Rattus norvegicus: one gene and its partners. The protein of the gene in region 3 interacts with the protein of the main gene of each other region in a pairwise test. Links are inferred from orthologs where the notes say so. Each region holds a gene or a part of one and is shown on either strand. Other genes may lie near its edges.

Evidence for each region. The genes of interacting proteins can lie anywhere in the genome.
Region 1: the proteins of Ccdc136 (region 3) and Usp2 interact in binary tests that used the Homo sapiens proteins (3 or more experiments, as listed by UniProt). The two-hybrid records come from large-scale screens. The link is inferred for Rattus norvegicus from reciprocal best matches to the Homo sapiens genes CCDC136 and USP2.
Region 2: the proteins of Ccdc136 (region 3) and Pdlim5 interact in binary tests that used the Homo sapiens proteins (3 or more experiments, as listed by UniProt). The two-hybrid records come from large-scale screens. The link is inferred for Rattus norvegicus from reciprocal best matches to the Homo sapiens genes CCDC136 and PDLIM5.

Annotation. Positions count from the first base shown.
Region 1 is NC_086026.1:53,309,464-53,313,716, reverse strand, and holds the start of Usp2 (ubiquitin carboxyl-terminal hydrolase 2), read right to left. Parts: upstream 2,848-4,253; 5' UTR 2,764-2,847; exon of another isoform or gene 1-2,763. UniProt on the Homo sapiens protein: Hydrolase that deubiquitinates polyubiquitinated target proteins such as MDM2, MDM4 and CCND1. Isoform 1 and isoform 4 possess both ubiquitin-specific peptidase and isopeptidase activities.
Region 2 is NC_086020.1:233,790,630-233,794,739, forward strand, and holds the start of Pdlim5 (PDZ and LIM domain protein 5), read right to left. Parts: upstream 2,848-4,110; 5' UTR 2,815-2,847; intron 1-2,814. UniProt on the Homo sapiens protein: May play an important role in the heart development by scaffolding PKC to the Z-disk region. May play a role in the regulation of cardiomyocyte expansion. Isoforms lacking the LIM domains may negatively modulate the scaffolding activity of isoform 1.
Region 3 is NC_086022.1:58,990,314-58,993,509, reverse strand, and holds the end of Ccdc136 (coiled-coil domain-containing protein 136), read right to left. Parts: exon of another isoform or gene 1,927-3,196; intron 879-1,926; coding exon 771-878; 3' UTR 548-770; downstream 1-547. UniProt on the Homo sapiens protein: May play a role in acrosome formation in spermatogenesis and in fertilization.

The DNA of each region.
Region 1 (4,253 bases), on a different chromosome or scaffold from region 3:
CATGTGGCTGCTGGCTGCACCTCCCCAGGGGCCTGCCACCTTGGACAACGGTGGCGGTGGTGGTGGTAGTTCCTACTCTTGCCTTTTTTTTTTTTTTTTTTAACAGAGATTTTGATGTCTCCCTTCTCTCTGAGAGTCTCCATCGCTTTGCAAAGTTTCCCCACAGAAACTGGCATGGTGGCATCATTTTGCACAGATGCACTTGGCTTCCTCTTGGGACAACGGAGCCATGCAGCTAAGGCTCCCAGCCAACTGGTCCCACACACCTACAGACCAGGCATAGAACTCACTGAGGACCTTGAATGCAGCTTTTGACTTTGTCTGCCAGATAGCCTCATCCTGTATGTACTTGGTCCTCCCTAGCCTTCCTGGCAGTGTCCTTAAGTGTAGAGGTCCTGAAAATCTCAAGGCAGACGAAAGCTTGAACTTTTTTAGATGCATACATTCTCAGGTTTAAGAAACATAATTGCAAAGGCTATATTGTTTGCGTTAAATGAAAACGAAAAAAAATTCGTATTTTTAAATGTACAAGAAATTTAAATAGTGCCTTGTTTTGCTTTTGTTTTTGTTTTTTTGGACGAGTCTAGGCTGACCTCAAAGTCTCTGTCTTGTCTCATATCCCAAGAGCTGGGATTGTTAAGTATGAGCCCCTAAGAGTGAAACTTAAGTAAAGTTTTATTGTCCATATTTCAGATCTTTTTTTTTTTTTTTTGGGTTCTTTTTTTCGGAGCTGGGGACCGAACCCAGGGCCTTGCGCTTCCTAGGTAAGCGCTCTACCACTGAGCTAAATCCCCAGCCCCCGATATTTCAGATCTTAACATTTAAAGATGCACCGACTAGGGCTCTAGCACACTAACTCAGTTCCCCCGGCAGCTTTAAGCGGTCATGCTATCAATGCGTCTATTTGTGGGTAAGGAAACAGTTCTTTTTTTTTTTTTTTTTTTTTTTTTCCGGAGCTGGGGACTGAACCCAGGGCCTTGTGCTTGCTAGGCAAGCGCTCTACCACTGAGCCAAATCCCCAACCCGAATCAGTTCTTTCTGCAAGTCATGTGGACCCTCTCCCGCTGTCAGGCTGCTGCAGTTGTCTCTGCTGGGTGGGAACTGAGCTCTGTTCACTGCAGCTACCCTGAAGCCATCCATCCCCTGTCCTGAAAGCAGGGCCATGGGCCTGTGAAGTCAAAGGAGGACCCCTCCAGGATGCCCACGCCTATTTATCCCGCTAGGAGAGAAGGCTGCTTGCGGGAGCAGCCCCTGGATTTTCCACTGTAAGTGAATGAAAATGAAGCCTGGTGTAACCTGAGCTGCAGCACAATACTGATCGAGGGAGAGATGGTGATCGAGGCCTCTATTTCATCCTCTCTGCCAAGCCCTGTGTGTCCCCTGGTACTGGCATCTACCCCAGCACAGGCTTCTGGGCCCCAGCTTGGTGGCAGACATATCCCTGAGCCTCCTTCCCACGGCTGCAGTTTAGCCCACTCCCCAAAGTACCCACACTAGGTGAGTCAGGGGTTGAAACGAACCCTGTTCCCTTGAGGCAACCAACCACCTGGCATCAAGTCACTGTCATCAGTCACTGTCATTTCCTGTAGCTCACGTGAAGGGCTCCCTAACCTGCCCAGCTGGAGGAGGGACTTAAGCCTCAAGAATCCCAGACACTCCTGGCCCTGGAGGCAGAGGACTGGTGATACACCACCTCTTAGCAGATTCATGCCCCTTTCTGTCCCGATGGGCTCATCTTTCTGAGGCATAGGCCTAGCCACATCTGTGGCTTTGTCACTGCCCTCACTTACGTCCTCTACCCTACAAGACACTTCATGGACACACCTAAAACACCACTAAGTCCCTTTCTTCCTACCCAGATGTTCAGGGCAGGTCAGCAGGGAGACCCAGTCAGTCTCACTAGGTGCTCGGGAACCTCCGCAGTAGTGACCTCAGAGCTTCCCAAAGCTGCCTGCTAATTGTATCAGAATGTGCTGACTGAGGACTAAGAGGGGGATAGACACCCTGTCACACCTATGACCCTTCCTCCTTGCTGCTTGGATCCCTTGCTAGACTCTCTGGCCACAAGTGTCCACCCTGACAGAGTGGAGAAAATGGCAAGAGCTGTACATTTACATTATACCATCGGCTCCTCTCAGGCCTCTTGAGCCCTGAGCCTGACCCTCTGACCTGTTGCTAGCACTGCTCTCTATCAGATGCTTGCAGCAACCCACCTACTTTTATCACAGAATCCTCTCGCTTTGGGGAGGGGAGGTCCTGTAAAGGAATTTGTGCAGGTCTCCATTTCTCTTGCACTTTGGAGGTGCCCAGAACTTGGGGAGGGGATGGGAGTTGAAGAGGTAAAGTGAAGAGATCAGAGATGAGAGAGATCAGGACAAGTATCCTGGCTTGTGGAGAGGTGGGTGGGCCTAGGGGGGGATCACACAGGGTGTTTTTCGATTTGGGGTTGGGATGGATAGATATCTCTACAAGTCCAAGAAAAGGCAAAGAAACAGGCTTCCTAGAAGCAGAAGGTATCTTGTGATTTTCTTCTTCACCCCCTTTGCTCAAGTACCCCTCCTAGTGCTCCCTGCCCTGGAGAGAGTCTCACCCCCCCACCTTTAGGGCTTCAGTTGTCCTCTGTCCCCATATCTTGAGGAGCATTTGGGTTTGGTTACAACGCTCACCAAGTCCAGCGGGCAGCCTCTCAAATGCTCTCCCGAACTCAATGAGGCTTTACTTAGCCATACTTGAAGCTCTGACACCAAAGAGAGGGCTACTGACCTGTGTCCGGGGGCACTGGATGGGATCTGGGGGCTTCTTTCCTCGCAGGGAAAAGACGGCTGTTGTAGAGTCTAGAAGCTGGAGTCTGACTGGGGCTGGGTAATCCGGAGCTCAGGTTACGCTAGCTAGATATATATAGTATCTTATCTGACCTCGCCGAGATGGCAACTCACTTGCATTCCAGGCCCCAGGAGAATTAAAGGGGCAGTGACAAGCCCACCTTCCACCCAATGCCTAGTGACTGGGTGGAAGCAGAGAATGAGCCAGAATCCTGGGAATACTTGGAAATAACAGGAAGGATCAGGGGTCAGAGCAGAGGGCTGGGGATGAGTCTGAGTCCCAGACATGGAGAAGGTGGATTCTCTAGTGCTGTCCGTCACAAGTTGAGCGAACACGAAGAGGCCAAACTGCTAACCCAGCTGCTGGTGTTTTAAGATAGGGAGGACCGGGGTTGGGGATTTAGCTCAGTGGTAGAGCGCTTGCCTAGCAAGCTCAAGGCCCTGGGTTCGGTCCCCAGCTCTGAAAAAAAAAAAAAAAAAAAAAAAAAAAAAGAAAAGGAAAAAAAAGATAGGGAGGACCTAGCTCCTCTCTGGACACGGGCAGAGAAGAGTGGCTGGGACCAGCCCTTGGTTTTCAGTCCACTACTGTTTTTACAGTGGACTTCTAGGTCTAGGCCTGAATTCTTATTCTTTCCCTTCATGGATCTAAGATAACTTCTGAGGATACTTAAGTCTCTGAATCTTAGCTATGTAGTTTGTAAAACTGAATCATAGAGCTAGTATGGTGGCGCATGCCTTTTATCCCCAGCACTTGGGAGACAGAAGCAGGCAGATCTCTGAGTTCAAGGACAGCCTGGTCTACAAAGCAGACAGCCAGGGCAACACAATGAAACTCTGTCTCAAAACCAAACCAAACCAAACCAAACCAAACCAAACCAAAGGAAACCAAAAAAACCCAACCAAACAAATGCACACAAAGGAGAAACTCAAAGGAACAAATAAACAAAAACCATGAATAATAAGGTGTGATTACATCTCACAAGGATAAGGATAAAACAATAGTTTTAAGCTTCCTCAAACAGAGCCAGGGTTCAATAACGCCAGGCTTATTGGCCATGTCCATTCATCTATTCATTACTAATGGCAGTTGTAGCAGACAACCCTTAATAGAAGATAAAGGCTTTGGGCTACCCCCCGGGATTGCGACACCAGACACCAGCCCTGTGGTTTTCTGAACTAGTCCACATCTCCCAAATGGAAAAGTCAGACAGATTTTGCCACTTTCCCAAGGCGACAGGCCACACTCCTTTCCCCTTTGTTCAGAAAAAAAAATTATATATATATATATATATATATATATATATATATATATATATATATATATATATAAATCAAGTGTGGCTTCTCTGGGCTGCCAGGAGAATGCTTGGCTCCAGAGGGGCAGTTCCAGTCTACCTGTTGGAGGGCTCAGGCTTCCGGGGTATCAAGGGC
Region 2 (4,110 bases), on a different chromosome or scaffold from region 3:
CATTTTGGAATTGTAATTATTCTGATTTAGAACCGTAACTCCTAGCCTCCTCTATTGGAACATGGTATTTTCCACAGTTAAGGGACCTTTAGTGCACATTATCCCTGAAGTCATTCTTCCTTAGAAACTAGAATCCCTAAAACTAGTGTGGCTTCATCCTCAGTGGGTCAGATATCTACATATGCTGGTAAATCTGGTGTGATAGAAGAGAAGTTTAGGTGGAGTTTAAAATGTGTAAAAGTATGACAAGGAAGGAAAGATAAGGTTGCTGATGTAACAGTTCAGAATTTCTAAGTATGAAATATGTCTAAAACTAGGCTTTTGTTTGTCTAGTTCTTTGTTTATGGGGTTAGGAAGTAAACCTAAGTCCTTATTTTTCTTTCATCTAGGCAGTGATGGGCCACATTCCAGAACAGGTAGTATCTTACTCTAAATTTTTGTTTTCTTTTATGCTTATACATAATCCAGCAGAGCAGAGACTAAGCCTTCCTAAGCGAGTAAATGAGGCTATGTTAACCATAACTGAAATACAAGGTTAACCTTAATGAAACTAAATTGGAGCCTTAGAAAATTACCATGATGCAGTGCTTTTTCTTTTTTTCTTTTTTTTTTTTTTCCTGTCTTGCTGTTCTTAGGCTCATAATGACTTCAGGGTAGCTCTTTTAAAAGCTCAAGTTGACTTAAGAGGGTCCTACTGGTAGTTAGGAGGCATTGGGAATAATGAACATTGTTCCCTCTTTAAAAAGAATAATAGAGATATACAGTTCTTCTGTCTAAAAGTATGGCAGGTATATGATGTTATAATGCTTTAAAGACACTTGTCAAAACAAAGCTTTGGGGATAGAAATATATCTCAGTGGTACAGAGTCTGTGTAGCATTTATGAGGCCATATATATATATATGAGTATATATATGAATATATAGTATATTGACATGCTTGATTTAATAGATGAAGTCTGATCAACCGTGTTAATATACTACTTTTTACATCCACTTTAACACCTACCCATGTCATCAAGTTCAGCAGCAGCACACGTACCACAGAGAAGGCAAAAAACGGACGCCTTCTTCTCAAGAATGGAAAATGAGGCAACACTTTAAAGGAAATCTAGTTCCGGGATATTGTGCACTGCAAATCTTTTAAGGTGGAATGGTAGTGCCGAACTATTGTGTTGTAGCGTTACTTCCGTACCGCAGTAGTAAGCAGTGGCTATAGAAAAAGACCCACAGGAAGCCAACGGGCAGGTGAAAACTAAATGCTAGGGAGTTAATAACAAGCTGGAGCAGGATCTCCCCAAGACCAGTAGAGGCAGTCTTGATCGTGCCATACAGTACAAATAAATCAGTAAACCAACTGATAGTTCCCAGGCCACTGTCGTCTCTTAATCTTTAACTGTGTCAAGGGAAGAATGTGAAAGTTACGCTAAACGCACTCTGGCTCCATTTTTCCCTAGGAGAGAATGTGGGTATCAGCCCACATCCATGTAACTTCCCTTTTCTTAGGGACTCCCTTCCTGATTTCTCCCATTTGTTATTAACATTTCTAGTACTAGTCAAGTCAGCCAAACCGCAACACCAGTCTCTTCCCTAAACTCCCTTTCCGCTAGCTTCACTTGGAATTCATTTGTCTTAAAATATTCTGATCCTTAAGCAAGGGCAGAATTGTCATTGGCCTTTTCCAAGTCTCCCCCATGTGGTTATTAGTGCCCAAACGCTAAAATACCAACCAAGCAGGCAGGAAATAACAGCTTATTCTGCTTTCAAACATGTAAAAAACGTTGGAATTTCTGTAGAGTTTTGGATTTTCTTTTAGGGGCAGTCTAAATAATGCCTTCCATCTACTGCTGGTGAGGGACGCTAAAAGTGGTTTCCCACACTTCAGTGTCAGCTTCTTTGGTGTGCGTAACGGGGCAGACCTACTGTGGTGAGTGGTAAGCCCTTCAATTAAGACTACCTAGAGATTCTTTCTCTCCTCCTGAGATAGAATGGTGGGCGGACTAAAGAGCTAAGGCTTAGGATGAAAGAGGATGAGACGTTTCCCAGCTAGGGTTCACGCCTAGCCAAGTTGGCCAAATAAGGTTCCCCAGCTAGCAGTTTCCGTAGCAGGCGGGTTCAGACGTCCTCGGGTCAAGAAGGCGGACCTGGGATAGGATCCGGCGATCACACCCTAGACCTGCCCAGCCCAGTCACGAATTTTCTTTCCAAGTTCTGCCCAGTCCATACGCCCTTCCTTTTTCCACTCATTGTCAAACGCCGCTGAAGCACAATCTGGCCAAAGCCCCAAAAAGTCCACCAGTTTCATAAAACTGGCGACCGCGACCGATCTAAGTGGCCTTTCATTCTAGACGCACCGACCTGTAACCCTAACAGGTTACACAACGGCAAATATTTCACGGAGGAGAAAATAAACGCTTCTCCGTAGCCCGGGAGCCAGCAAACAAAATAGCGCCGCTTTCCCGTGCAGGCGCACATTCTCCGCTCGCCAGAGCCTCCCAGGGGGCTGGCGCGCCCCAGGCCGAGGTGCTGCCCTTCGCCCCCCGCGGTCGGGCTCCGCGGGCGCCCCCTGGTGCGTCCGGCTCTCCCGAGCGCCGGTCCCGGAGAGTCCCGGCTCTGGACGCTGACCCGCGGCGCGCCGCCCTGCCCCGCACTTCTCACACCTCCGCGCGCACCGGGAGCACCTGAGGAGCCGCGGCTCTGAGGAAACGCGCACCCCGTCCTCCTCCCGTCCTGCGCCCCTCCACGCGCCGCACCCCGTCACCCGTTTCTCCCATCGCGGAGGAGGACGTGCTCCGCCGCCGCCCGCGGTCACTCACCTCCGGACCCGCGCGGCGCACCCTCCGCCTCAGACCAGCGCTGACAAGTGGCTCGCGGTGCCTGCGCCGTCCCTCTCAAGCCGGTGGGGAACTTCCGCCTCCGCGCTCGACCCGCCCCGCGCCCAAGGCTGGGCACGCCCCTTCTCTGATGGCCACACCCCCTGGTCCGGGCTGGGCGGGGCCGCACTGCTGCTGGCTTTGAAGGCAATGGAGTCTCCGGGTTGTACGCGGGGACTTGCTGGGGCCGGCTGTAGCCGCCTCAAAAACAATTCCCCGAGTGGAGTTTCGGTGGGCGTAGTCTCCGGGGTGTAGTCTTGGAGTGGTACCCGGCAAAGATCTAGCCTTCCGCTTCTCTGTTTTGTATTTAGGCGCTTTTCACTCCCGCAGAAACTTGAATTGACCCGCAGTTGGTCTGGCTAAAAATAGAAAAGGGCTTTAGCTAAATCTCTGTCTGTCGGAGCGAGTTCAGCGACTACCGCCTGCTTTTGTGAAAGACCTCTGTATACTCTCGAGAAGTGCAAACTCTGAAGTTTGCTTGTCAGGAAGGTGAAAATCGCTAACCCTAATATGCAGAAGTTAAATCTGTCGTCAAGCTAAAAGACAGCCACACAAAGCAGTAGGCAAAGTGATTCAGCCACCGATCCTCGGCTTACTTTTCTAATTCCAAATCAACAGCACGTTTACCTACTTCTGTAAAGTTGTTTGATTTTGCCCAAAGAATTTTTATTCACAAGCAAACTTTGGTAAAGTTTAGTGAACATTCCAAAAGAAACGTGCAGTTTTCTCTAACTCTTTGAATTGGCTTTTAAAATACTAAAAGCACAAGTGTTAACCAAGTGGCGTAGCAAACAAAAATAAACCTCAACAGAGGTCCCTCTAGAGGTACAAAGTCTGCCCTAGAGGTGCAAGCAAAATTCTAGAGTAGGTCCAAAGCTGTTGAAATAGTAGCCACTGGCCAGGAGTGACTATTTATCATTGGAAATGTTGATACTGAGATTTTTTTTTGGTTCTTTTTTTTCAGAGCTGGGGACCGAACCCAGGAGATTTTTTTTTTAGAGTTAAAATTTAGCTCACTGTAAAAACCTTTTATATTATCCTTATGAATCTAAATTTATACATATGAATAGGATAGGATTTCTAATAACTATAAGTTTCATTAGGACTACATTTCACTGTACTGTGGCCAACTTGACATAAATGTACCGGGTTTTTTTAAACTTTGTGAATTTAAAAAATAAGTATGTTGATTACATGTTGATATTATCTGCTTATTTACAACATTGTTAAAATTTATTT
Region 3 (3,196 bases):
TTCCTTCTCCTGTCTTTCACACACAATTGCTTCATGAAATGTTCTTCAGTCCAAGTATTGACTGTCTTGTTTGCTGCCAGGCTCTTGACTAATTAAAATGTCTCCAAAAATGAATCTCCTAAGTTGAGAGGGTAAGCCAGGAAGGTCTTTTGTTTGCCCATTGCCTCTAGCCCCATACACAGAGTACCCAGTTTGCTGTATTTCTTTGTGTTTATAAGAGTTTCTTGAGGGGTTGGGGATTTAGCTCAGTGGTAGAGCGCTTGCCTAGGAAGCGCAAGGCCCTGGGTTCGGTCCCCAGCTCCGGAAAAAAGAACCAAAAAAAAAAAAAAAAAAAAAGAGTTTCTTGAGATAGGATTGAATAGGGTCAGATCAATCTCTGTGATTCAGCTGGCAGCAGACTCACAGAGAACCGACAGCAGAGGGAACCAACCTCATTTCTGAAAAATCATATTTAAAACAGACTCTTATGGGATATACTTGGTTGAAGGGTAATTGCTCTGTTCAATGTTATGTGAAACATTTATTGAAGAAAAAGTCACACAACGTCTCATGTAATCAGGCTGACATTTAATTACAAGGAACCCAGGTTCTTACACAAGGCAGGAGATTGAGAGCCAGCAACTCCCATAAGCCTTTTCAGTCTTGAATACTGAGGCAAAGGAGATGGAGAAACACTGATGGGGTGGGGGGTTCTGGCACAGTGTACTCTGCCCAAAGGTGAGGGTGGTAGCCTCTGGGGATCTGCCCTCTGGGCTGGTCCAGGTCTGCCATCAATTCATGTAGAATTCTGGTTCCTGCGGTCGCATATTGGGTAACACATACAGAGCTACTGCTGCAATAGCCAAGAATACCATAGGCTTCCACATCCCAAACATGTTCTGTGGGGACCAAAAAACAACAGTGAGTTCCACGCCTTCTTCCTGAACCCGTCCTTAAGCCAGAAAACACGGCCTACTAGAGGGCATGCCTCAGGAACATTCTTTTTTTTTTTTTTTTTTTTCTTTTCTTTTTTTCGGAGCTGGGGACCGAACCCAGGGCCTTGCGCTTGCTAGGCAAGCGCTCTACCACTGAGCTAAATCCCCAACCCCCTCAGGAACATTCTTATGGCTTAGCCTCTCTCACCTCCAGGGAGATCATGGAGACTCTGTGGTTTCATTCCAGCACACTAGTTTTGTGGCAGGATACTGTATGATTACTTAGGTTATCCCTGTATTTGTGCTTGATTTGTCTCCATGGGATGAGAATATTGGTTCCTATTTGCATAAGCAAGATTCCAGGCCCACCTTCAGGGACTCTTCATGTAGGTGTGTGAGAAGAGGTGGGGTAACCTGGGCCTTTAGAGAGGGTAGGTGTAGCTCACTGACTTTATGGAGAAGTGAGAGCTAAGTTAAGGAGTGTGGGCATGAGAGGAGGCAACAAAATGCATTGCAGAATGAAGTAGAGATCACTGGTGGCCAGAGATTGTGTGCCAGGTGATGTCACTTTGAGGAAATCCAGGGGAACCTGCTGTTGGTCCTGAACAGCAGTGTCATGAGCCAATGAATGCACTCCTCACCCCAGCTCTCCACCTTCAGTCACGGGGCCATGGCCTGACAGCCTGCCGCATGCACTGAGTGCCATCAGGCTTCTAAATGCTCTGGCTGCTGGGAAACCCTGATGCCTCATGGGTAGGAAAACACGCCATAAGAAAACATTCAGGAAACAAGAATTCTTGAACACAAAAATGAGAGAAATAGTTCCTATCTTTACTATTCGCTTTACTGTGTTGCTTAAAGAATCTGGATTTTGAATCAAAAGTTACAGCGTAAGGGGAAGATGTCTTGAGGAAAAAAATGGAGTGGAGTTCATTAAAGCTAACGTATTCGATTAAAGAATAACTGTTCTCAAAGAAAAATTTAAGCTAATTACAAAGAGCATATAATCTCCCAATTTTATAGGAAAAGTTGCTAAGAACAAAAAATATATAAAATGAAAAAATTAATGTTAGAAGTGGACGTAAAACAATCCACAATAGAAATTAGGAAGCAGGAGCACACATGAGTGCTGCTGCCTGGTCTACACGCCAGGCCCTCTCATGACAAACGGATATCTAGAAAAGGCATTTACTCTAGCTCTGGTAGCACACATGTAATCCCAGAACTTTGCTGCATGGCCAGTTTGGAGCCTGTCTGGGCTACATTGGCTCCTGTCCCAAAACCTAAAAAAGAAAAGCCCAGATGTCAGCTGCTAGTGGCTGAGCAGCCACCGATGGCTGAAGGATGCAGGGAAGGGACAGCCATTTGCTGTTGGTGTAGGTGTAGCCACAGTTAAAGGCTCCACAGGCAGCCCACGTCCATGGGCACATAGACAATGCCGGGCTATTTGGGTGTCCCAAAGAGCTTCTGGGCTCCAGGAAATCACAAGCATCTGGATGTGTCACGAACCTGACAGACTATGCAAGGTATCTGACAAGATTTCCTTGAAGTCCTTGCAGACAACAAGCAGAAAGAGTAGGAGGATATCAATGTTGTCTGTTCTGATCATTCCTTAAGAGCCAAACCACTGAGTAAAGAGAACTTGACAAGACAGCCCTAGAGGCTGGGTCCTTCTGTGAGATTGACAAGACAGCCCTAGAGGCTGGGTCCTTCTGTGAGATTGACAAGACAGCCCTAGAAGCTGGGTCCTTCTGTGAGATTGACAAGACAGCCCCTAGAGGCTGGGTCCTTCTGTGAGATTGACAAGACAGCCCTAGAGGCTGGGTCCTTCTGTGAGATTGACAAGACAGCCCTAGAGGCTGGGTCCTTCTGTGAGATTGGCTGAACTCAAAGGTGTTCACCTGAAGATGTGAATGACGTTAGCAGGAAAAAAGAGCATTGTGAAAACATAAAACATAGGGTCAGGGTCAACAATTAATCAAACAAGACTCCACAAAAACTCATCCGCTATGGCAGTGAATTACTGCTAAGAGAGAAAAATGGAAAACTTTGTCACTGAACTCCAAGCAATCAGTGTTAGTACAGAATGAGGAGAGGATACTTAGTGTTCACAATACACAAAAGTCTTAGAAACGAGACACTAATAAATTAATATTAGTCACCAAGAGAGCTACTGAGGTTGGAGGTCCCAGAAACACAACAGGGTAATAGTATAATCTGCTGTATATTGTCTTCCCCATTCCCCAGGGCCAACCAATGAAAGGTGCTCAGAATGAGAAGAC